Linked DNA regions of Lytechinus pictus. The protein of the gene in region 2 purifies or fractionates together with the protein of the main gene of each other region. This does not show direct contact. Links are inferred from orthologs where the notes say so. Each region holds a gene or a part of one and is shown on either strand. Other genes may lie near its edges.

The links. The genes of interacting proteins can lie anywhere in the genome.
Region 1: the proteins of peroxisomal biogenesis factor 19-like (region 2) and peroxisomal membrane protein 2-like purify together in Homo sapiens (affinity purification with mass spectrometry; 3 studies listed by BioGRID and IntAct, counting the BioPlex papers as one, with this or other methods). This does not show direct contact. The link is inferred for Lytechinus pictus from reciprocal best matches to the Homo sapiens genes PEX19 and PXMP2.

What each region holds. Positions count from the first base shown.
Region 1 is NC_087246.1:22,770,491-22,782,172, forward strand, and holds the start of peroxisomal membrane protein 2-like, read right to left. Parts: upstream 4,625-11,682; 5' UTR 4,563-4,624; coding exon 4,462-4,562; intron 1-4,461. UniProt on the Homo sapiens protein: Seems to be involved in pore-forming activity and may contribute to the unspecific permeability of the peroxisomal membrane.
Region 2 is NC_087252.1:8,080,406-8,091,282, reverse strand, and holds the start of peroxisomal biogenesis factor 19-like, read right to left. Parts: upstream 4,221-10,877; 5' UTR 4,197-4,220; coding exon 4,061-4,196; intron 1-4,060. Other genes in the region: uncharacterized protein LOC129266355, read right to left, coding at 10,226-10,720. UniProt on the Homo sapiens protein: Necessary for early peroxisomal biogenesis. Acts both as a cytosolic chaperone and as an import receptor for peroxisomal membrane proteins (PMPs).

The DNA.
Region 1 (11,682 bases), on a different chromosome or scaffold from region 2:
AAGTGAATGAAGGCTAGATTTTTATGTGGAGAAATCTTCATAACGAAGACAATCCCTGTAAATAGGGACGTTCCTCATATTCAGACTGGAGGCTCTCAGCTAAAGATTATAATTTGGCAGCATTTGGATAATCTAGTCTGTTTTCCAATTCTTCCCTAAGCCTAGGCTCGGATATCACTTATCAGTTAGGACCGAGGCCAGGGCCTCACTCCTCACCGATATCCGAGCCTGCTACAGTGCTAGGCCGGGCCTAGATCTAGGTTAATTCACTAATTTCTCTCAAATTGTTTTTCCTTTCTCTTCTCTCAACTCGTTTCCCCCCTTTTTTCCCCCAATAGCTATACCCAAACGTCATCAGTGACTGGTCAACCAGTCCCAATTGTTGGAAATGACTGGGGGGGGGGGGGGGGCACTTCCATTGACGAGTTGATACCAGGCGCGACCTAAGAAACGTGTAAAAAGGATATCTTTTTCAAGATTGGGCACGTTACGTAGGTAAGGGTGTCAAAAACACTTAAATACTGAAAAAAAGGGTATATATTTCGCTAGGAAAACTACATGTTTACGGTTGTATTTGCGAGGGTATAAAAAAAGACTGAAATGCTGTTTATAAGGGATGTACTTTTTGCCCCAACACTACGTCTGTTTTGAGCGAGGTTTGGGAGGTGGTACTAAACCCAAAGTAAAGGTAAAGCCGATGCCTGTGATCACGTCCATGACACAACAATTTATCGCTGTACTTGTTTAGGGCCAGGGTCAATTCAGTTCAGGGAATACTCATCAAGGGTACCGTTTAAGTTTTGTTTCCAAATTCCAACACTTGTTAAGGGTAGGGTTTTACACACCAAAACTTCTTAAGGGGTGCATTTTCAGAATATGGAAAATACTCTTTTTTTTTCAATTCAATTTATTTTCATTCTTCAACATAATACAATATATACAAGATAAATTAATTCAATTTAAATAAAAGCATGAACAAAATCTAACATTGAATAAATGATATACATATTCAATAAGTGATTCAAATATAAATTAACATGCATGTCAAATTTATATCAATATAATTAAATCAATATAATTATATATCATGAGAAGAATGGAGGGGTCCACTGAAAAGCAAAGCTTGTAAAATGTGGACCCCTCAAAAAGTTAGGATAGAATGAATATTGAAATATACAGTACGTAAAGGAATACATGAAGATAACGAAAAGGGCAAAAAAAAATTCTTATATACAGGATTGTGAAATTCAGAGACAAAAGACAATAACACGACACAACACAACACAGGTACATGAGGGTGGACAGTAATACGATGACCACTGCCTAGAATATAAGAAAAATAGAGATAGGGAGAGGGATGCAAGGCTAATCTGCTGCATATATATATTATGGCTATACATACATGCACATTATGTACATGACCATATATACGCATACACATACATACACATATATATATATATACATATACACGCATTCACACATATACATACACACACATACATACATACGGACATACACATATACACGCATGTACACATATACAATATAAAAAGTAGAATATAATAATGTATAGACAAGCTATAACTTTTGTATTTTAAATCTTATGTCTAACTGGAAAAAAATAAGGCTTCATGTTCTGTATAAACATAGATAATAGACTAGCAATAAAAGATACAAAATTTTAGTTTAGAATAATAAATATATTAATATAATTCATTAAGATTTTAGGAGCATAAATTTTAGTTTGTTTTTAAAGGACAGTAAAGAACGGGCGTCTTTAATCTCATCGTCAAGGGAATTCCAAAATCTTGGACCTGTATATAACTACCGTAAGTATTTTGTGCTAGAAGCGTTCTAAGAAGGGGCAAGTGAAATTCATTTGACTGCCTGGTGGGATAGTTATGGAGGGATTGGTTTCGGGGAAACATGGAATCAAATATGCGTGGCAACGAATTATTTTTATATTTATACATGAATTGACCTAATTGAAACAAATATAAATTTTTTATTTTCATGATTTTATGTTTCAGAAACAATGGATCTGTATGAGAACGAACTGGTGCATTCCATATAATTCGGAGTGTTTTCTTTTGTAAAATTAATATTTTGTCCAATAAAGAATTGTGGGTATTACCCCATGCTAATATTCCATAATTAAGGTAAGGTACAATCAAAGATGAGTATAATATGAGTAATGTGACGGAAAGAAAATAGTGTTTTAACTTATTAATTACACCAATATTACGAGATAATATTTTACTTATTTAGGGTGCTTTTTGAAACTCCATGGTTGCGCCTGGTATCCACTTGTCAATGGAAGTGCTCCCCCCGCCCCCCGGGACTATTTTCTTTCACCCAAATCAGGGGCATTTATTTTCATCAAAAATCGATGTCACAAACAAAACTCAGATATACATTTTGCAAAATAACTGGCAAAATATACATTTCTTTCTTTCCCCTTTTCCTTAGCCCCAATAATGTCTAATCTAATTTTCAATTCCTTCACAAAGGTAAACCATAATATCTTTTCTTTTTCTTATGTACGTTTCTTAAAATTATCAATTTATAATACTCTAAAGGCCAAAGTACTATAGTAATAATATCATCTGTGATTTTTTCCAAGTTTGGAAACTTAGTTTTCTCGCTAATTTATGATTGTATCTTCAAAATTACCAATAAAAAACCAAATCAGAATTTTTTTCAGAAGTCTTCTCTTTATCGCAGTTATGGTGATATCGGACTTTGCAATTGTTTCAGGAAGTTGTGAGAGAGATCCCAGAGCACATGAGAGCAAATCGCTCGCCAATCTTGTGTATTTTTTTCGCTTTTCAGCAGCCATAAAATAGTAAATATCAAGAAAATTGATGCGGCAATCAAAAAGGGAAGCGGGCGCGGACGAAAAACATCACTTTTTTATATTTTTTAAGCCAATTTTTGAAAATAGTGAATAGAAAAATATTTCATACTGCAGCCAAAAAAGATGCGCGCGTGAGGACGATCAACTACTTTCTTTTTTTACTTGGCCTAAAATAACAACTGGACTAGCGCCAGCAATAACATCAACATATCCAAATTTAATTCTTAATTTCATGGAAGACTAACATGGCCTTATCCTGAAATAAGTCACCTCTCTTCTCGTGTGTGTCAGTGTGTGTGCGCTCGTTATATACAAAGTCGATGGGAGATGAAAGAAGTCACCGCCGCTGAAAAAATGGACAGTGAATTGAGTGGTGACTTAAACCAGGATAATGCCACTCGCTCACTGCAACAATCCTGCCTGTAGGGAATCTACAGGTAGGACTATGGTATGCCAATGCTGTAGAGAGCACACACTTTAAAAAATCATTAAAATATCACTTTTGTGACCAAAATTACTAATTTCCATAAAGTTGCCATTCATTTTTCATTTGTAACTTGGGAATAATTTTTGTATTCACCAGAGCGTTCAAAAACTTGAATTTTGGGCATATTTTTGTGTACGCCCTCTATTGGTGGAAAGTAATATGGCAAGAAAATTTTCATTTTTCAATCTCTATTTTTAATTAAGAAAAAAATAATTAAAAAAATCAAATTTACTTATTAGCCAAGTTATAAGATGAAAAGCTGTAATGGAAACTGATAGTGTAAAAAAATCAAGCATTTGTCCCAAAGATAAAGAGAAAATAGCCAAACATTGCCAACCTTATTTTGCCACACATGGAGATATCGAGATGTAACTGAGTCTCTGAGAACAAGGTTATAACTTATATCATATTCATAACCTCGTTCATTGAATAAGTGGATAATGCCGACTAAGTGCGACTAACAGTTAGCCTGTTAAAAGTTAGACTTCCCTCTCAAAATTGACAAAAACACAAAACTGACAGACGCGTGTCGTCTGCATAATCACTATTGTCATTCATTCATGTGAGGAGTCTGAGGACAGGAGCCGAATTCATTCAGCCGATAGGCGATACTAAAATAATGTTTAGGCCTAACTATTTTCTGTCATCACATCATCACATCACATCACTATCAGGTACGGAAATACGTCCTCCATTTTCAACGCACCAAAATGCTTGACTCGCCGATTTTGTTATTTCTTCCGATTCTTTCGGAAAGAGTTCCATATATGCACCCCCCACTAAAATTGAAAATAAAAACATTTCCATTCTTTCTGCTAAAGTTTCTACGACCAAGATAAACAACATTGGCATATTGCCCCCCCCCCCCCCCCCGACATGACTGATAACTTCTCCTGTACAGAAGCCAATAACAGCGATTTAACTCACGTGCAATACAGATACAAAATAACGGAAATGTGATTTCAGCTATTGATTCGCGAGCATAGCTATTCGCACGCGCCGCCAATGATCATGTCAGGCCGTGACTCGAGTCGAGACGCAGCTCGTTTTCTTTTCGAGTTTTAGACTAACCCAAATATCAATTTTGTAAAAAGACTGGTTTAAACTGACGAACCTTGTAAGCGATTTTGTAATGATAGGCTTCTCCTTTAAAAATCTCAAATAAGCTCGAAAGAGCATTTGAAGTGATCCCGGTCCCTCTTTCTTGGTTTCCATCTCGGCGAGATAATTTCGGCGAGCATTAATATTTTAGTCTCTTTTTTCTTAGAGCGCGGCTCTAATTGGGTTATTCCCATGCATTGGCCATAATTAAGAAAAGAACGTCAGCTATGATTGGTCGATTTTATTGGAAAAAGTCAAAGATTTATGGGGGAGTTGAGTATCAGCTGTCTGCTAGAAGGGGAGATAATAAAGTTAGATCTATAATAACATTAATTTTTACAGTAACAGAGAGCAATAATGCAGAAAAATAATTATTTTTTTTTTGAAGTAGTAATGGAACCAGAGAGATATATATCCCGGTATAGAGATTCCCTTTTGCACTTTGTATATATTCCCCTTTGTAAAATGAACTTTACCAATAAGGGAGTATTGACTGTCAACATGAAGCCGGAAATTTTCGATTTTCGGTGGTAATTGCTAATTTTAATCATTTTTCGATTATTTCGCATCTCCGGTCTTGGACTTGATACCCTTCAAATTCAATATGGACGTTGATATATTCAATTGCTACATGAAAGCAAGTTTTTTAGGTAAGTTTACGCCAAAAATAATTTCACCCCCTTTCAAGTTTTCACCCCGCACGTCCGTGGACGTCATCCGCAGCCCTCGCTCAGCTCCGGCCCAGCCGCATCGTCCCGTTGGCCTTGCCCTTGCCTTGGCTGGTCGAAGTCCACTCAAGCCAAGGGTTCAGACATTAGATGCCGCTGTGCATGGGAAAATCAAGGCACGACGCATGCAACTCTCTATATGACTAGTAAATAGTATAAGCTGATCCTTCTTCTCGATACTCGATAGACAGCTGCTACGTACTATAGCGCATGGCTGGCAGCCGTCTGTTTCGAGGAGTTTTTTAACATTTTTATTTTTTTCAATTTCTCCTTGTGCACATTCACATTGTCATAGCCTGGACTCTGGAGGCTTCTGGGGAGTAAAAGTCATCTATAACATGTACGTAGGCTTACTCCCATGAAGCCTGGCACGGCAAGCCATAGCCATTGGCCCACACGAAGGAGGGTATTTGCCTTGGACTCTTGGAGACAACAATGTTGCTCCAAAATACTTGATTTGTTTAACTTGCTTATCACACAATTTTGTAAATGGAAAAGAAGTTCATTTCCCCCCATTAGGCACTCATAACGTTTTTTTTACAAGAATAATTATACAAATATTATATTAAGAAAAATCATGTAAGAAGATGAGCAGATACCCACAGTCACAGATGATCTTGTCGCCATATTTCCGTCTTTGTTCGTAGCCTAGTTACAAGACGCGTATACGAGAGGGCGACGATATCATGAGCAGTGCCAATTTTAAAAAAATAAAAAATTCAATCGGCCGATGAAAAGCGTGAATTGTAAAATACTTGAATTAGCCAATAAATACACGGGTTTCTTTCGTAGCTATATTTTGATTGAGCCAAAAAGAAACTGATTATTTATGATGATAGTTTGAGCTTTCTTCCTCTGTTTTCTTTCTATCTTTCTATCCTTTATTTCTTTGTTTCTTCCCTCTAATCTTTCAATTTTTTACTGTCTTTCTTTTATAATTTTCCCTATTTTCTTTGCCTTTCGTTCTTTTATTCTTTCTGTCCTTTAAAGAAATATTTTTCTCTATTTCTTTTTCGCTTTCTTTTTTTTATTTTTATTTCTTTCTTTAATTCTTGAGTCCATCCATCCTATATTTTTCTCTTCTTTCTTTCTTTCTTTCCTTCATTCATTATTACTTTCTTTGTTTCCTTCTTCCTTCCATCCATCCTTTCTTTACCCTTTCTTATTTTTCATTTCTTCCTTTCAGCCTTTTCTCTTTTTCTTTTAGTTTCATTCCTTCCTTTCTTCTTTCCGTCTTTTGTTCTTTCTTTTTTCCCTTCGTTCCATCTATCCTTTTACATTTTCTTTCTTTCTTTCTTTCTTTGTCTTTTGGTCTTCCTTTTATCTATTCTTTTACCTTTTCTTTCTTTTTTTATATTGCTTGCTTGCTTCCTTCCTTCATTTCTTTCCTTCATTCTTGTTTCCTTCTATCTATCATTTTACCTTTTCTTTATTTCTTCCTTTCTTCCTTCTTTCAATCCTTTGTTCCTTCCTTTCTTTCTTTCTTTTTCTTTTTTCTTTTTTCCTTCTTTCCATCTCTCCTTTTTTCATTGCTTCTTTCCTTCTTTCTTTCTTTCATTACTTTCTGTCTTTGTTCTTTCTTTCTTTATTGCTTGCTTCATTTCTTTCCTTTCTTTCTTTCTTTCTTTCTTTCATTCCTTTCTTTCTTTCTTATTTTTTTTTCTTTCCTTCCTTCCTTTCCTTCTTTCTTTCTTTAGTTCTTTCTTTTTTCCTTCCTTCACAGCTATCATTTCTTTACCTTTTCTTTTTTCTTCCTTCCTTTCTTTTATTCTTTGTTTCTTTCTGTCTTGCTTTCTTTTTTTTACTTTCATTCCTTCATTTTTTTTTTGGGGGGGGGGTAACAAGAAAGGACAGCAAAATAAACTCGCGCCTTTTTTTAATGTTTTCTTAATTTTTTGGGATCAGTAGATTTTAGGTTCGGACCAGTAAAAAATGGAAAAACTGGGTATCTTCTGGTCCGACATGAATAGGTTGGACCAGTAGAAAAAAAAGGGTTAGTGTGGAGCCCTGTAATATTGATACTATCGGTTAAAAGAGCAGATGAGACGTAGCCTTAGTCACAAAATAGCATAGATGTACATCTGTATATTTTTCAAAAAGGAAAATTATGACAACATTGCAAATATGATGAATTGGGAAATACATCTTTTCAATATAAAAGCACCTAAATTATGCATCATACATGTACATGCATAGACCATGAAGACTGGAGCATACAATTGCTGAGAAAATGAAATTATGAATTATCCATGTTATGACTAAAAAATCGCATGTGGACGTTGAGATGGGTACCTCCAATTTTAATAGTTTACGAAAGTAAACCATAACGATTTTCTTTGTAAAATGATGATAATTATACCGTCCTTTATGATTCCAAACATCATAGAAATATAGTTTAACCAAAACATATGATTTGACAAATTCTATGCATAAATTATAGATAGAATTTATCCAAATGTTAATAGTGGTCTAAAAACGACAAATACGAGTCCAGTTATGGATGGCCTGACGTGGTAGAATATTTATCGATTAAATTATTTTACTATTTCAAAATGAATGGTTTTGTGGCGTTTTACCAACAGTTTTTAGTTTCTTTGTATTACAATTATCATTGAATGCATTATCTGACTTGTTTTGTGATGTAATTTTAACCTCTATGATTGATTACGTAAGATTATAATTGTTCATGTCATAGTCTACCCATGTGATGCCACTACGTCATTAAGAAAGAAGTTATGACAGGTTCGGAGATGTCATAAATATTTAGTCAGGTTGTTGTACCCGATCTCGGCAAAGAGGGCTTCGTGAATAGTCAAGAAGTTAGACTTATGACGGTGTTGAGAAACGGGCCCCTGTTCCTCATATTTTCTTGCTCTTGACGTCACTGCCTGTCCCACGGCAACTACAATAATTTTTGGCCTAAAAAGTGCACGCTATTTATATTCATAGACACGACAAGGGAAAAGACTAGACATCTTAACTATTTTACACGCAAAGCATTGCGCGAAGTCCGTGAAGTGTCCAATCTTTTCATTGCATAGACTTTGGTAGATGTATTATTGACAAACTAACAAAGCTTGTACTGCTGGTTTTTTGTCAACGTAGATCTAGATTCTAGACTCTACATAGATCTAGATTTTTTCTATTTAGATTCTATTTTTAAATTAGTCATCGTTTTAAATTATATTTGCAAAAAAGTGTAATCATCGACAATAATGATCTTAAATTACATGTATGTTTTAGAAGGTATTTCATTCATTGGTGCCCATATTTTATCAAGTAATCATAAGAATTGTGCATTCATAGAATTTAGACACACCGAGGAGCTGAATAAAAATTCAAGGCTGTGAAATTTATTAGCGCCACCATCGGGCTTCCTTTTATTTCCGTAGGAGAGACATGCGAAGTCACTTTCCAGGCCGAGGTAAGCAAATTTGCTCTTTTTTGTATGATTTTTATTTTTTAAATAAAAAAAATAAATACGATTGTATGGCTACTCACTGGAAAGAGCCCCGGTGAGTAGCGAGAAGGAGTTTCAGCAAATATTACATGTACTTCTGTAATGAAGCGATGTTTACGACTAGAATAGAAACCCACGGGCCAAACACGGTTCAGTGTACGAGGTTAGTACTTAGTAGGCCTATATAGCATACTAACTTGTACTAGTGTGAGTGGTCGAAATCTAGGCCTAGACCAAAAAAGGTTCAGTCTGTAAATCATGTACATTGGTTGTTCTGCTGAGTACTGTAATGTACGTTATGCGTTATCATTGCCAATAATAATCTTAAAATGTTTTTGAAGGTATTTCATTCATTTGTGCCCATATTTAATCAAGTAGAATTGCGCATTCAAAGAATTTAGTTTTATAGACACAGTTATAAAATTACCGAGGAGCTGAATCAAGGTTGTGAATTTTATTAGCGCCACCATAGGATAGTCTGCTGTGCAAACCCTTCACTCGAGTAAAGGGTCTGAATTGCAGCCTACTCATACCTTGTGTACTGGGCGTTGTGGCGTGCGCCTGTAATACAAGCTATGTGGGGAAGTTACAAATTGATGCAGAGGTTCGAGCCCTGGTCACGTCTTTCAGATGGTGACGTTAAAGGTTGGTCCCAGACGTAAATAATCATATCTGATTGATACACGTCTGACAAAAGTCAAATACACACACACACACTGAAGGCCCTGAAACAGCAAGTTTTGCTAGTCTTTGCGTGGAGACACACTTGTTGATCAAAGTTTCAATCAGGGTCTGTGCCTGCAGACTACTCACCATGTGGTTATCTCTTCAAATTACCTGGGCATGTTGTTTTGAAACATTATCCAGTCAATCAGAATTCTGGATTTCATGCTACTCTGAAATTTCGTCTTGTATCTTATTTTTGCTGGATCCCGACCCATTTCCAAGGTGCAACATTTTAAGAGTGACATTGTAAGAAAACTACAGAGAATGAGCTTTCCGATGATATAGATATTTATTGTTGCTCAAAATAAAAGGTTTTGCACAATGTGAGGGGGGAAAACAGAGGAAGAAAATTCCACTTTGAGACATCTTTTCAGGCCTAAAATTCATCAAAATATTTCATTCAAAATAAATTACCATTTTAAAAGAGTAACATTTACTCTTAACAATGATGCAAATGCAATAATATTTGATTTCACCTGAGGATAAAGTGTTTAAATCTTTTGAGAAAGAAATGTTCACAATTCATGAGATTTTGCAGGGAGGTGAATTCAGCTACGAGAGGTTTAGAGGAAACCTTGCTTATTTGCCCTGCAGAGCCCTATTCGCTCATCAGCATAGGGCTCTGCAGTCTGGCTGAATTTAAAAAATGAATGAATCAATTGTAGGCCTATTTTGTATTGATTTATAAATTTATGTATTGTTAATATGAATTACTTATTTGACTGGTATCTTGCAGGGAATAATTTTGCTGTACAGATTTGAATCGCATTTATGGTTATGAGAGAAAAGCTCTCAACTATGTACAGTCCTATGTAAAAATATGCTAGATACAAAAGACTTTATGCATAGCAGTCTTTAAAAATGTGGAGCAAATTGCGATGCGATACCAGGAAAATTATTCCCTGCCTTGATGTATTATTCATCTGTGTTTGTCTGTCTTTTTTTTGCGAAAAAATATGACTTTAAAAGAACCTTAATACCGATAGGACTGTGATTCTGTGCAGCTTGATCGGTTCATTCGTGCACTGGTAGTCTCTGCGCCACGCAATTTTGAAAAGTGCAAGGCTCTTTTTGAAATTTTTCCTGGTGACACATGTAAAACCTCTGTATGTCAAAAATGTTTTAAACCTCTGAGGTAATTTTATATTGTGTTCCTTACATTTATAATTATGTATATTACATGTATGTCTTGAAATATTTTTGACTTTCTTATAATATTTATTGTATTACATACATTATGTTTATTGTATTACATACATTTCCATAGACTAAACAGAAATCAATAAATCAAATCAAACTTTTTGTAACAATCTTGTACAAAAGTGACTTTTTAAATCTTTCTGAACATCTTTCTTTATATTTGCTTTCCCCTTGAAATGTCATGAGTTCTTATTTTATTGTTTTATGTTATTTCATCTCCCATACGGTACATGTATGTGTCAATTCCATACCTTTTTTCTATCTTGTTTGTCTTTATAACTTTCTTGATCACTATTGCCCATATCTCCTTATTTTTTTCAAAACAGGAAATACAATATATTGTACAATGCATGCATGAGAGAAAAGATGATGCCACTATTTTTTTTAATTGTATTAACAATTTTCAAGTATTGCAGATATGACAAAAGCATATTCATCATCAAATGACAATTTCAGATGTTAATTAGAATGAGTGGATTACAGTATGTCATTGGTTGGGTTCCCTTATTGTACCGAACAGGGCGTGCATACTTTTTTGTGGCATTATAAAGCAAAAATTTAGAATCCAATTTTTTTCAATTTGCAGTTAAGCGTGTATTTTTATACATATCAATTATTTTAGAGGTGGATTTCCACTTAAAAGGGGTACTCCAGGGTGAAAACAAAACTTTTAATTATGACATTTTCACTGTTTTTTTTCTAAAATCTGTTCAAATCACATAATTCCCAGCCTGGTGTACCCCTTTTCAAACATAATCAGGCTTTTTCAGCTATGCTATAATATCAATCTGTGGAGGTGGGCAGGCTCCACCCCCCTTGGATCTCAGCTGCTGATCACATGAGTGCCAGTATCTGCACAGTGGTTGTGGGCGATGTACATGTAATCTACAGGGCTGTATGGTTTCGAGCAATTTCGGGTTTGACATACACTTTAATACAAAATGTTGCATAAAAATGCTGTAATTTCAGAACCATCGGTCACAAATTTTGTCTCAAAACTTTAGTGAGACTCGAAAGAAAAGTGATGGAACGTCGCAGCACCAGCTTTTTTGCATTACAGATTTATCACAAAAAATTTTGATGGGGTGGATTCCACCCCCCCCCCCCCCTTGGTATTTTT
Region 2 (10,877 bases):
CGTTCTCATATTCCTATGCATGCCCCGGATGCATGCTCGTTTGTTTGGGGTTTTTGTGTTCTTATATTTTGTTTATGAATTTCAATTTCCTACTTTCAATCACTTGTTTTGCTTTTCGATGTTATGTTTATGTTGTTTTTGTGTTTTGTTTTGGTAACATTCCAACTTGCATGGTTTCATACCCGTTTGCCGTTTTCATTTTCAGATGCATGCTCGCTTGTTTGGGGTTCTGTTTTTGTCTGAGGGAGTCTTTAATTATTTTGGTCTGTTTATTATTATTATTATTATTTTGCTTATTTGGTAATTCAGTACAGTGGGGAATCCAAGCGGGGAGCAAGGTCCGTGTACCCGTAATTCCCGTTTCTTTTTACATGATAAAAGTGTCAAATTAAGGGGGCTCATCCCTGGATCCGCTACTGAGTAGAATCTATTATTTTGGAGATTTTACTTAATGTTCATAATTTTCTAAAATCATATTTTTAATCTGCCATCCCGATAGTCCTGATAGTCATTCATGAAAATCTATCAAATAACTTGGTTTTTGTTTTTAGTCGCTCCAGTCAATCACCAAAAGATAATCAGCCACACAACCTATGTCAAATAGTAGATCAACACTAGCTCATTCAAACTATGGGCATCGGAGAAGAGGATTATCTTTTGTATTTTTTAGGGGGTGGATGCAACAATAGAGGTCCCCAATGAATATTAATCCTCTGCTCTGCTGACCATATCAATCCCCTCTCGTTAAGATTATATAAATTTTCAATCACTCAGAATTTTTAATACAACAATCCAAAACGGAATCAACCAGAAAATGGCGCAGCATCATCGTTTCAGTCAATTTCATTACAGACAAAGAGTCAAATGGGCAACATGTTATTGAAACTTCACGTCTTTGCAGTCAAGATATTGTTTATTTTTTTCAGTCTATGAAATGAATGGCAAGGTGAATGTAGAATTAATACAAATGGCAAATAAGTTTCATACTCTTGTCTTTCATAAATGGAAAGAAATCAATAAATCAAATACTCTGTAACAAAATTTACTGTTTGGCCATCTACGTACAATACATTAAATTTATATAAAATTAAGAATGATATGAATACAAACAATAGAATGTAAAAATAATTATTGTACTGCAAAATAATTAGTACCAGGGCGTAACAACTGCGTAGAATATATATTTTCTTTGTAATTTCTTGGATTTTATATTAGTTTATTTTTTACAATAAAATTAATGGCTCAATGATACTTATAAGATCTACGTCGGCCTCCGATATAGGGAAAGCGAAGAGGAAATTTGGATTTCATATCATTCCTTTGATAAATCAAACAAAGTTTTAGGGAACATTGTGATATAAGAGGTCATTGAAGACTATCTTTAATTCACTCAATGCTAAATCTTTCTTGAATACAAGTGTGGTACGCCTTCTTGATGAAATAATTTGAATGAAGATAATGTACATAAATTAATTTCATCATAATGGCCTTAATCTATTATTCTTACACTATCCTTTTCATAATTATGCTCATTGTTTTATTGCAACTTCCTTCAATATCATAATTTACTGGTTCCATATTAAAACACAAAACTACTGCCCTCGCTATTGTCATTTCCTTTACTACATCAATGGTCCTTTAAATCCCCCAAAAATGAACGAGAAAAATTAAATGGGAAAGAAAGACAAAATAACGACGAGACCGACAATTAATTTTGAATCATCTGCTGAAACTCTAGTCTCTTCACCCCGAATTTTGCCATCCGCTGTTCCAATGCCGCCAAATTTGCTTTCATAGCAACGGACAGGTAAGGGCTGGAACCATGCCGCGATTTTACTGGTGTCTTCCCATCGATCTGTGGAGAAACTGGTAAGGAAAAATTTTAGAACATTTGAATTACACAGCATGATGGAAATTACCGATTGATATAATAGTTTAAGTTCAGAGTATGGTTAAGTAAATAAAAAGATGTAGACCTACTTTATCCCTATGCGTTGATTTAGGTATCCCATATACCTAAGACGCCCTCCTTTTTGACATCTTGTCTACCATCCAATACCGAGTTGTCAACCTGCTGTTTGATATACTGTTAGTAAAGATTTTGATATCTGTTTGAAAAGTCATTGAAAGTATGAACTCAAAGAATTTAAAATTAATATTAGACGAAAGGAACATTTTATTAATTCTATAAATCACTTTAGGCCTAACTCGGGCAACTGAATTCCAATTGAATTCACAACAGTAACTGATAATTCTAACCGAATTCGTCAACATTGTCATCCACTTTCGATTGATGTTATTAGCAATGATGACAATATTAAAAGGCCCCTTGTTTTAAATTAAAACGACCAAAAAAATTAGCCGCAGACCTCTGATATGTGAGGGACGGGCAAAATTGAGGGGCAATTTTCCAGCCTTTGATCTAGCAATGACGTCTTTTAAAATAACACTCGTGGAAGAGCCTTTTTAATTTTTTTTTTCTTGGGGGTCCATCATCCCTGGAACCGGATGTATTATTCAAATTAATAATAATATTGAAAATAACTATGATAACATTAAAAAAATAACACGGTTTAACTATTGAGGTTGAGTTTGACTATTGAGGCCAAAAAGGAAATCACTAAGACTTAATCTCAATCACGTTAAAGGCAATATCAAAATGAGCCCTGGTCAAATTCGCCAACTTCGTCACCATCGTCATTCACCCGCTCATATTGCATTTTCACAGGCAATAAACATCTTTGTTCTAAGATTTTTATTAATAAAAATAATTGTAGGTATATTCTTAACTTATTTAGGCCTAACGTAGGCATATCATTTGCCCTATCATTTGAGAAAGATGTAGACTTCAACTCAATCACGCAAAGGCAATCAAAATGAGCCTTGGTCAAATTTACCAACTTCGTCACCATCGTCATTCACCTGCTCAAATTGCATTTTCATAGGCAATAAACATCTTTGATTTAAGATTTTTATTCATGAAAAATAATTTTAGATATATTCTAAACTTATTTAGGCCTAACAGAACAAAAAATGGATTAAGATAAGTGTTTCACTTGCGAGGAGCAACGTATCTGCACGCTCTTCCCTCCTCACAAACACACCGGCAAAACACTCAATGTTGCGCGACCGAATTCTGGTCGAGCGCCCTCTCACTATAGGGGCAATGTATAAGCCCTCGCTACTCATCAGTTTCACTGCTAGTTGCATATTCGCTGCGACTGGGTGAACACACAAGTCTTCCCCTTCACACTCGTACCAAATTCACTACACCTACACACAAAGTCATGACGTCACAAGAGTTTACATGAGGTTGCGTCCGCTTAACTCAATAGCTAAGAAACCCGGAAGTAAACAAAACCCCCCCGACGCGGTCAATTTTAAGGTTAGTTTTTGGCTGTGTGCTTGTCTTAATCGACATTTTTTTTGAGGTGGGCTGGAAGTGCTGGTTTCTTGCATGATATGCCAAAGTTTTCTGGCTCATGCATTATTTTTTTTTTTTCAACAGCTGTTGAAACAGCTGTCTGACCGAATTCTGGGAGGTGACCGAATACCGGGCGCGTTACCCTATACTAACCTCGCTCGCACCACGAACCGCGTTTGGCAGTGGATTTCTAACTAGTGGGTCGCGCGTGCTGGGATCTCACTTCTTGGGTCCCCAACACACGACTTCTATGGCTTGATTTTTCTGTGCGCGGCGGCATGTAATGAACCCTTGCTTGGCCTTGGGTGAAATAGACCTAGGCCTACAAAAAAATATTTTATAAATAGGGCCTACCGCCTAGGCCTATATTTTCTACCGCCTAGGCCTATATTTTTTTATTACAAGTGCAAACAGTACTTGCACCCATCAATTTCCAACCTTTAATTGGAGGAAGACTTCAAATGTTTCCACCACATCACGCAAACTCGGCAGAATAACATTGTCATTAACAAAAACTTTGACAAATTAGTTAGACTTGGTGCATACGCAAAAACAAGCATGTGGGACCGAAATTTTCAACGCCCCTTACAACAACGTTGGGTTTTATGGTCATGTGAGAATCGAGAATGCTCTTACTGTCCAATAACTGATCGAGATCTACGTCATCTTTACTTTCACTGTCCACCACCTGACTTAATGATTCCTTTGAGGGTTTTTCTTCAGCCGGACTGGTCATCGTTCCTTCCACTTTCTCACTATCAGCTGCTGCCATTTTTAAGATAAGCACGAGCGATGAGGGCGGGCTTGCAAAACATTGCCAAAATTAAAAAAGGCAAAAAGGGGTGATCTGCATGGTGGACTGCGATCCCCCGGGTGGGGGGGGGGGGGCTTCAAAATTTGCACACAAAACACTAGGGTGGATTTTCTCCCCCTAAATGGACCAAAAACCTCACAAAAATTGCCGCACCTGCTGATGTGCAATAGCAGTTCATTTCCATCGATAATTTTTTTTTTTTGGGGGGGGGGGTCAATCCGAAGATGCAGTGGAATTACGAGGGAGTAGAACTAAGTTTTAGCTTTTTGTTCTAACTTTTTTACATGTATAACATTAGTCATGTAGAGTATAGTTTATCATTTAGGTGATGTTTAATAAAATTGTTTCGTTATAATTGAACTGGCACTAGATCGATCTGCTCATGCAGCTGTTGGCCTTTATTATTTTTCTCTCTCCATATATTGAATATGATATGTCATATACACCTCATGATTTCTTTGCATCGACATAATTTTGTATAATTCGCATATATCTTTAATTGATTAGGCCTATACCTTTTAGGCAATCAAAATTGATGTCAGTGTCGTGCTCATTGCAGTGACAGCTCGTTATTTGCACTGCTATAAAGGGGGTTTCAAATTATTTCATTCGATCCGATCTATTGTGATGGACATAAAATAGTAAAATATATAGATTTCTATTGGCCAATCGTTTCAAGAAAATCAGTCTTAACTCTCAAAGGTCAAGTTCCCCTAAAAAAATATTTCAATTTTTTTTTTATTTGAATCAATTCAAACAAGCATATAACTCTGAAAATTTCATTAAAATCGAATGTAAAATGAAATCTGATAGTTAACGTTTTGCTCGTTTTTCACAAAACAGTTATATGCACAAATATGTGATATGCAAATGAGAGAACCGATGATGTCCCTCCCTCACTCACTATTTCGTTTACTGTTTTAATTATTCAATATTCCAGTTTTTCAGATTTGACAGTGATAAATGGACTGCAGAAAATGTTAAAACAACGGTAATTTACATATTCAGGGAGGAATGAAACTTTGTATTACATTATAATGAGGGGAAAGTTAAAATATATTGTATTTCATAATGATAATACAAACGAAATAGTGAGTGAAAATGTCATCAGTCCCCTCATTTACATACCGACCAGAATGTGCATATAACCGTTTTGTGAAATTAAGCGAAACTTTAAAATGTCATATTTTTCTTATTTTGCATCTGATTTTGATGATTTTTTTTTTATTGGAGTTTTTCCTTTTTTGTTGTTGCTGGGATGGACTTTTTCTTCAAGTCAATCACTATTAATTTTTTTTAGGTAATAAGGCTTTCAAAAGTTTACGACATAGGCCTACTTAATTTGGGGATTTATCTCCTCCAAACATAAACAAACAAGAATGAGGAAAGAAAAGAAGGATACAAGAAAGAAAATAGTGACATATATATTAGTCATAATCTATCACATATTTCCATTCTTTAATTTTTCTCGCTTGCTCCGCTACCACTCATTTTTTTATCAAATACAATTTTCTTTTGTCCCAACTGTGCCCATACAAAATATCGGGCTCACTGTGCCATTGACGCAGTATGAGTTTGAGAAAAATATAATAAAAATTATTTTAAAAGGGGATGGGGATACGACAAAAGAATGGAAGGGAAACGGGAGTATAGGGCATATTCCTGTTATTTCATTGTTGAGAGGGAGGGGGTCGCGGCACCTTATCATATACTCTCCCCCTATCCCGACACTGCCCTTGAGTATGTATGGACTTCACCGGGGAGGATAGGCCTATGCATCGAAGAATGTGGAGGTTTTTGATCAATTTAACACTTTTATAAAATCAATATACTTTGTGTTAAAAAAAGTAATAAAAGAGAAGGAAAAAAAATCTCATAAAACAGAAAGCAAAGGAGTTTGGAAAAGTTCTCGGTCATGAATTATAAACCCCTCAAAAAAAGTTTTAATCTGACTTTGATCGACAATCCTTCCTCGTTTTTAGTGAATATCAATGTGTAATTGATACCAATGAATCATTTAATTCTCTTTAAATTGATACCCTACATGATATGATTATGGTCCACATGGAGGTGCAGTGCCTTGAAATGTGGGACAAGGTCACAATTCAAAAGTTGCAAAGTGACACAATATTGAAAGTCACTGTTCTTTTTTTTTCTTGGTGATGAGTGAGTTTCTCAGCGGTTTCTTTTGTTTTCATGCACCTTAACAGCAACATTAACATGGAGATCTGTGAGATAACATGGTTTGAAATACACATGCATGTTTGTTTGTTAGTTATGTGTTTGCTTGTGCAGAGGTGTGTTTGATTCCATGTTAAAGGTCAAGTCCACCCCAAAAATTTGTTGATTTGAATGGATAGAGAAAAATCAAACGAACATAACACTGAAAATTTCATCAAAATCGGATGTAAAATAAGAAAGTTATGACATTTTTAAATTTTGCTTATTTTTCACAAAACAGTTATATGCACAACTCATTGATATGCAAATGAGAGAGTCGATGATGTCACTCACTCACTATTTCTTTTGTTTTTTATTGTTTGAATTATACAATATTTCAATTTTTACAGATTTGACAATTGGGACCAACTTGATTCAACCACAAACTGTTAAAATAATGGTAATTGCACATGTTCAGGGAGGAACAAAAGTTTGTTCCACATGACAATGAGGAGAAAATTCGAATTTTTCATATTTCATATAATAAAATACAAAAGAAATAGTGAGTGGGTGACGTCATCTGTCTGCTCATTTGCATACCGACCAGGATGTGCATATAACTGTTTTGTGAAATTCAGCAAAACTTTGAAATGTCATAACTTTCTTATTTTACAACCGATTTTGATGAAATTTTCAGTGTTGCGTTTGTTGGATTTTTCTCCTTTTATTCAAACCAAATTTTTATTGGGATGGACTTGTCCTTTAATGTTAAGGTGCATGAAAATAAAAGAAACCGATCAGAAACCCACTCATCACCACGAAAAAAAGAACAGTGACTTTCAATATTGTGTCATTTTGCAACTTTTGAATTTTGACCCTGCCCCTCATTTCAAGGCACTGCACCTCCATGTGAACCATAATCATATCATGTAGGGTATAATTTTAAAGAGAATTAAATGATATTTTGAATGATATCAAATATGCATTGTGTAAAATTGGGAGTTGGGAGAAATTAATGGCCAAACTCAGATTTCCAAACTTTTTTGAGTTTATAATATCCCTTTCATTTCAGAGATGCTAACACTTCAGGAGGCCGTTTCATAAAGCTGTTCGTAAGTTAAGAGCGACTTTAAGAACGACTGGTGATCCTTTCTTGTGGTAAGTGACGGTTCACCATTATGTTCATTAGTGATTATTTAGCGCGTAAGAAAGGTTCACCAGTCGCTCTTAAAGTCGCTCTTAACTTACGAACAGCTTTATGAAACACTCACCAGGTATTATTCCCCATCCAATACCCCCCCCCCTCCACGTACGCACACACAACCTCTGATCGAAACGCCCATACTCATCAACATAGATTCTTTAAAATAGCTTTGCCGGTAAATAGACTCAAATAAAAGAGCGGGTATACTCCGTAAAGTAAAGTGCATTAAAGTTTATTAACATTTTACGCACACTCAGAACAATGGCCACATTAAGCATAAAAACAGATAAAATCAATCAAAATATCGACTCTTTGAGATGAAATCAATTATTGAGATGATACTAGATCAAATATTTACATTATATATCATATTTCATTCTATAGATTAAAGGCAACTCGCGTAATAATAGAGGAGACTTCTTTGCTGCGTAATCAAAACAGCAGGAACAAAAAATGGACAAGCATAGGCCAGACATCCATGAAAATTTAAACAATATGCAAATAAGAAAAATCATATTTCATGAAGGGTTCAATGCTTCGGAAAGAAATTCAAATCAAAACTGTTTGTTTAGGTGAAAAGAATAGACATTACCCAATTATAACAGTATCTTATTATTCCCCTATTCCATTTCTCACCTATAACAGCACAGTCGTTATGCGATGTTTTATGTTCGATAACAGCCCATTATTAGAATATAAAAAAATGCCATCTAGAGTATGAATTTAAAAAAATGTACGATCCAGGGGCCGCGGAACACTCTAAAAACAAATCAGTAAAAAATGACTGGTTAATAGGGTCAGCTGGGAGCAACTGTTATTCTAGTCATATTTGACTATTTTACTAAAATAGAGTTATTTCTGACTAGAATATATGTCAGATATGTGACTATCAGTGATTGCCATATCAGTTGCTCCCAGCTGACTACTGGTCTAGTCAATTTGACTGATCTGTTTTAAGAGTGAACGGTTTGGGAAATTTTGGCTTATCATACAAAAACTAAACCAGATGTTCATTTTAAAGTTTTTTTCTACACGTTTATTGAGAAAAAAAAAGGATGAGGGACGGGAGGCTCCCCTTTCCGAGCCCCCAGGTTCCGCGGTCCATGCATTGGGATCGATGAACTTTATCTGCGTAGGAAATGAGCAAAGAGTTGGAAAATAGGAAACAATGTTGATAAATACATGTAGATGAATGATCAAAAAAGGAAAGTGATTTTCCACAGTTTTTTTATAAAGTTATATACCCTGCAAACCCCATATGCTATCTACAAGTATCTCTGTGTATAAATAAAAGAAATATGAACGATGATTTAGCTTAAAAGATTATCGCTTTATAATGAAACAAGAAAATATGCTTCGGATTTCAAAATTTTGGCATTTTCTTCGAACATGGTCTTGTATGTCGAATTCGCATTCACCCTCGATTTCATGTAAATTAAACAAACTATTATGGAAAAGTAATGAACTTTCCTAATGATATGATTTTTTCTCGGGAAACATCACGATCGTACATGATATGATGATCACAGTGGTGAATCTAGTAAGACAATAGCATGAAAATTAGACCTACAAGAAAGCAGTCGTAGTATGATAATAAAGTATTCTTGTGAAACCTTGAACCATTCGAATGGAGACATACTAGATATTGAGATACCAAATAAGAAAATATTGATACGATCATCAGGTTTATCTTGCTCCAAAAAGTGCCATCATGGCAAAAAGAACTAAAACACAGATTTGCATGCATTGCCAACAACACACAATTTTCACCACAGAATATAAAATCTAAAAATATAATCTGTATGAACACGAGTATACTACACTGGACGGATATCTAAACCGGAAAACCGATGATCCGAAAATTATCCGACAATGGACGAATTTCGTCAGAGACTGTACGTGGTGCATCGAAAATATACACTAATGTATCCCTTTGGCAATTTGCTTTCATTTATCAAATCATAAAACAATATTTAGTTGTAGGCCTGTATGAAAATTTTTAGAAAAAAAAAGGCATTTGTTTAAACATTCATCATTTGCAGAACTAATGTCAAATGATTGATTATTGCAATTACGAATATCAATATGATGATATAAAATCAGACCTTAAAATATTGTGTGTGAAAGTAACAATTTATATTCATAAAAGTTCATTTGAATTTGTTGCAAAATCATATTTTTGCTGGGAAGAACCGATCCATATCATATTGCTGTATTATTATTACTTATTTATCATGATTTATTTCATTCATCAACTCAAGTAGCCATTTAGACTTTAATCATGATTACCCAAACTAAAGAAAGCCTGGTAATAACTGCAAATTGCAGGGCTGCACAGAGTCTCTCGTCGGTGATTTTCTCTGACTTTTGTGATAAGCTACCGAAATCATTGCATCTGATTGGCCGAGAGCAAATTCATCCGAGAAGATTGAGTGATGTGACACTTCGTGAAACGCTTCTCGAACAATGATCATGCTTATCTTTCCCACGTCCATTCAGCGTGTACTGTGCTATACAGATCGCCGAAACACCGCACGACTATATAGTCGCATATAAACGTTCGCCAACATGCGAATCCATTTTGTTACGAAAGTCACTGACCGAAGTCACGCCCAGCGCGTTCTCAAACAGTACCGGCTAGAGCAGTTCTTCCAACAGCTTGTAATCCAGTATTTCCATTTGCTCCTTCTTTCACTTGTCTCTCTTTTAATGCCTTTCGCCGTTTCATTTCCTGTTGAAGAATATACAACCGCGCCTTGCACATCTGCGGACGTTGTCCTTTGTAAGTCGCCTTATGAATGGTCGTAAAGTCCTGTTTTCCCATTCTCTGTACAGGCTCATCGTGAGGTTTGAAGCTTGGCGTCGGTTCATCAAGCGGAATATCCTTGTACGTCTGACTATTCCAGCTCTCCACTTCCATTTTCCCTCGGGGTTTGACGTATATCTTCGCTTCGTGGAAGTCGCCGTAGCGTATGCGGGGTTTTGCGCCCCAGTTGCGGAAGAAGCGATTGTTCGTTGTCTGGTCGTAGAACTTGGCGGAGCGGGGGCCACCTTGGGTGTGAGGCCGACGGTTGGGTTGAAGGTACGCGGACTTGTCTTCAATCGGGCGATAATCCACCTGAAAACGGAGATTTGAAAATATACAAAGTGGTAGTTAGAATTTGAGTAATTGAACTAAACAGTATTTTAAAATGAGTATCTGCAGGATATATACAGTGTATTCCAAATAGGGCCTATACACTAAGTAGATGAAATATGACTGGAAGAAAACTTCA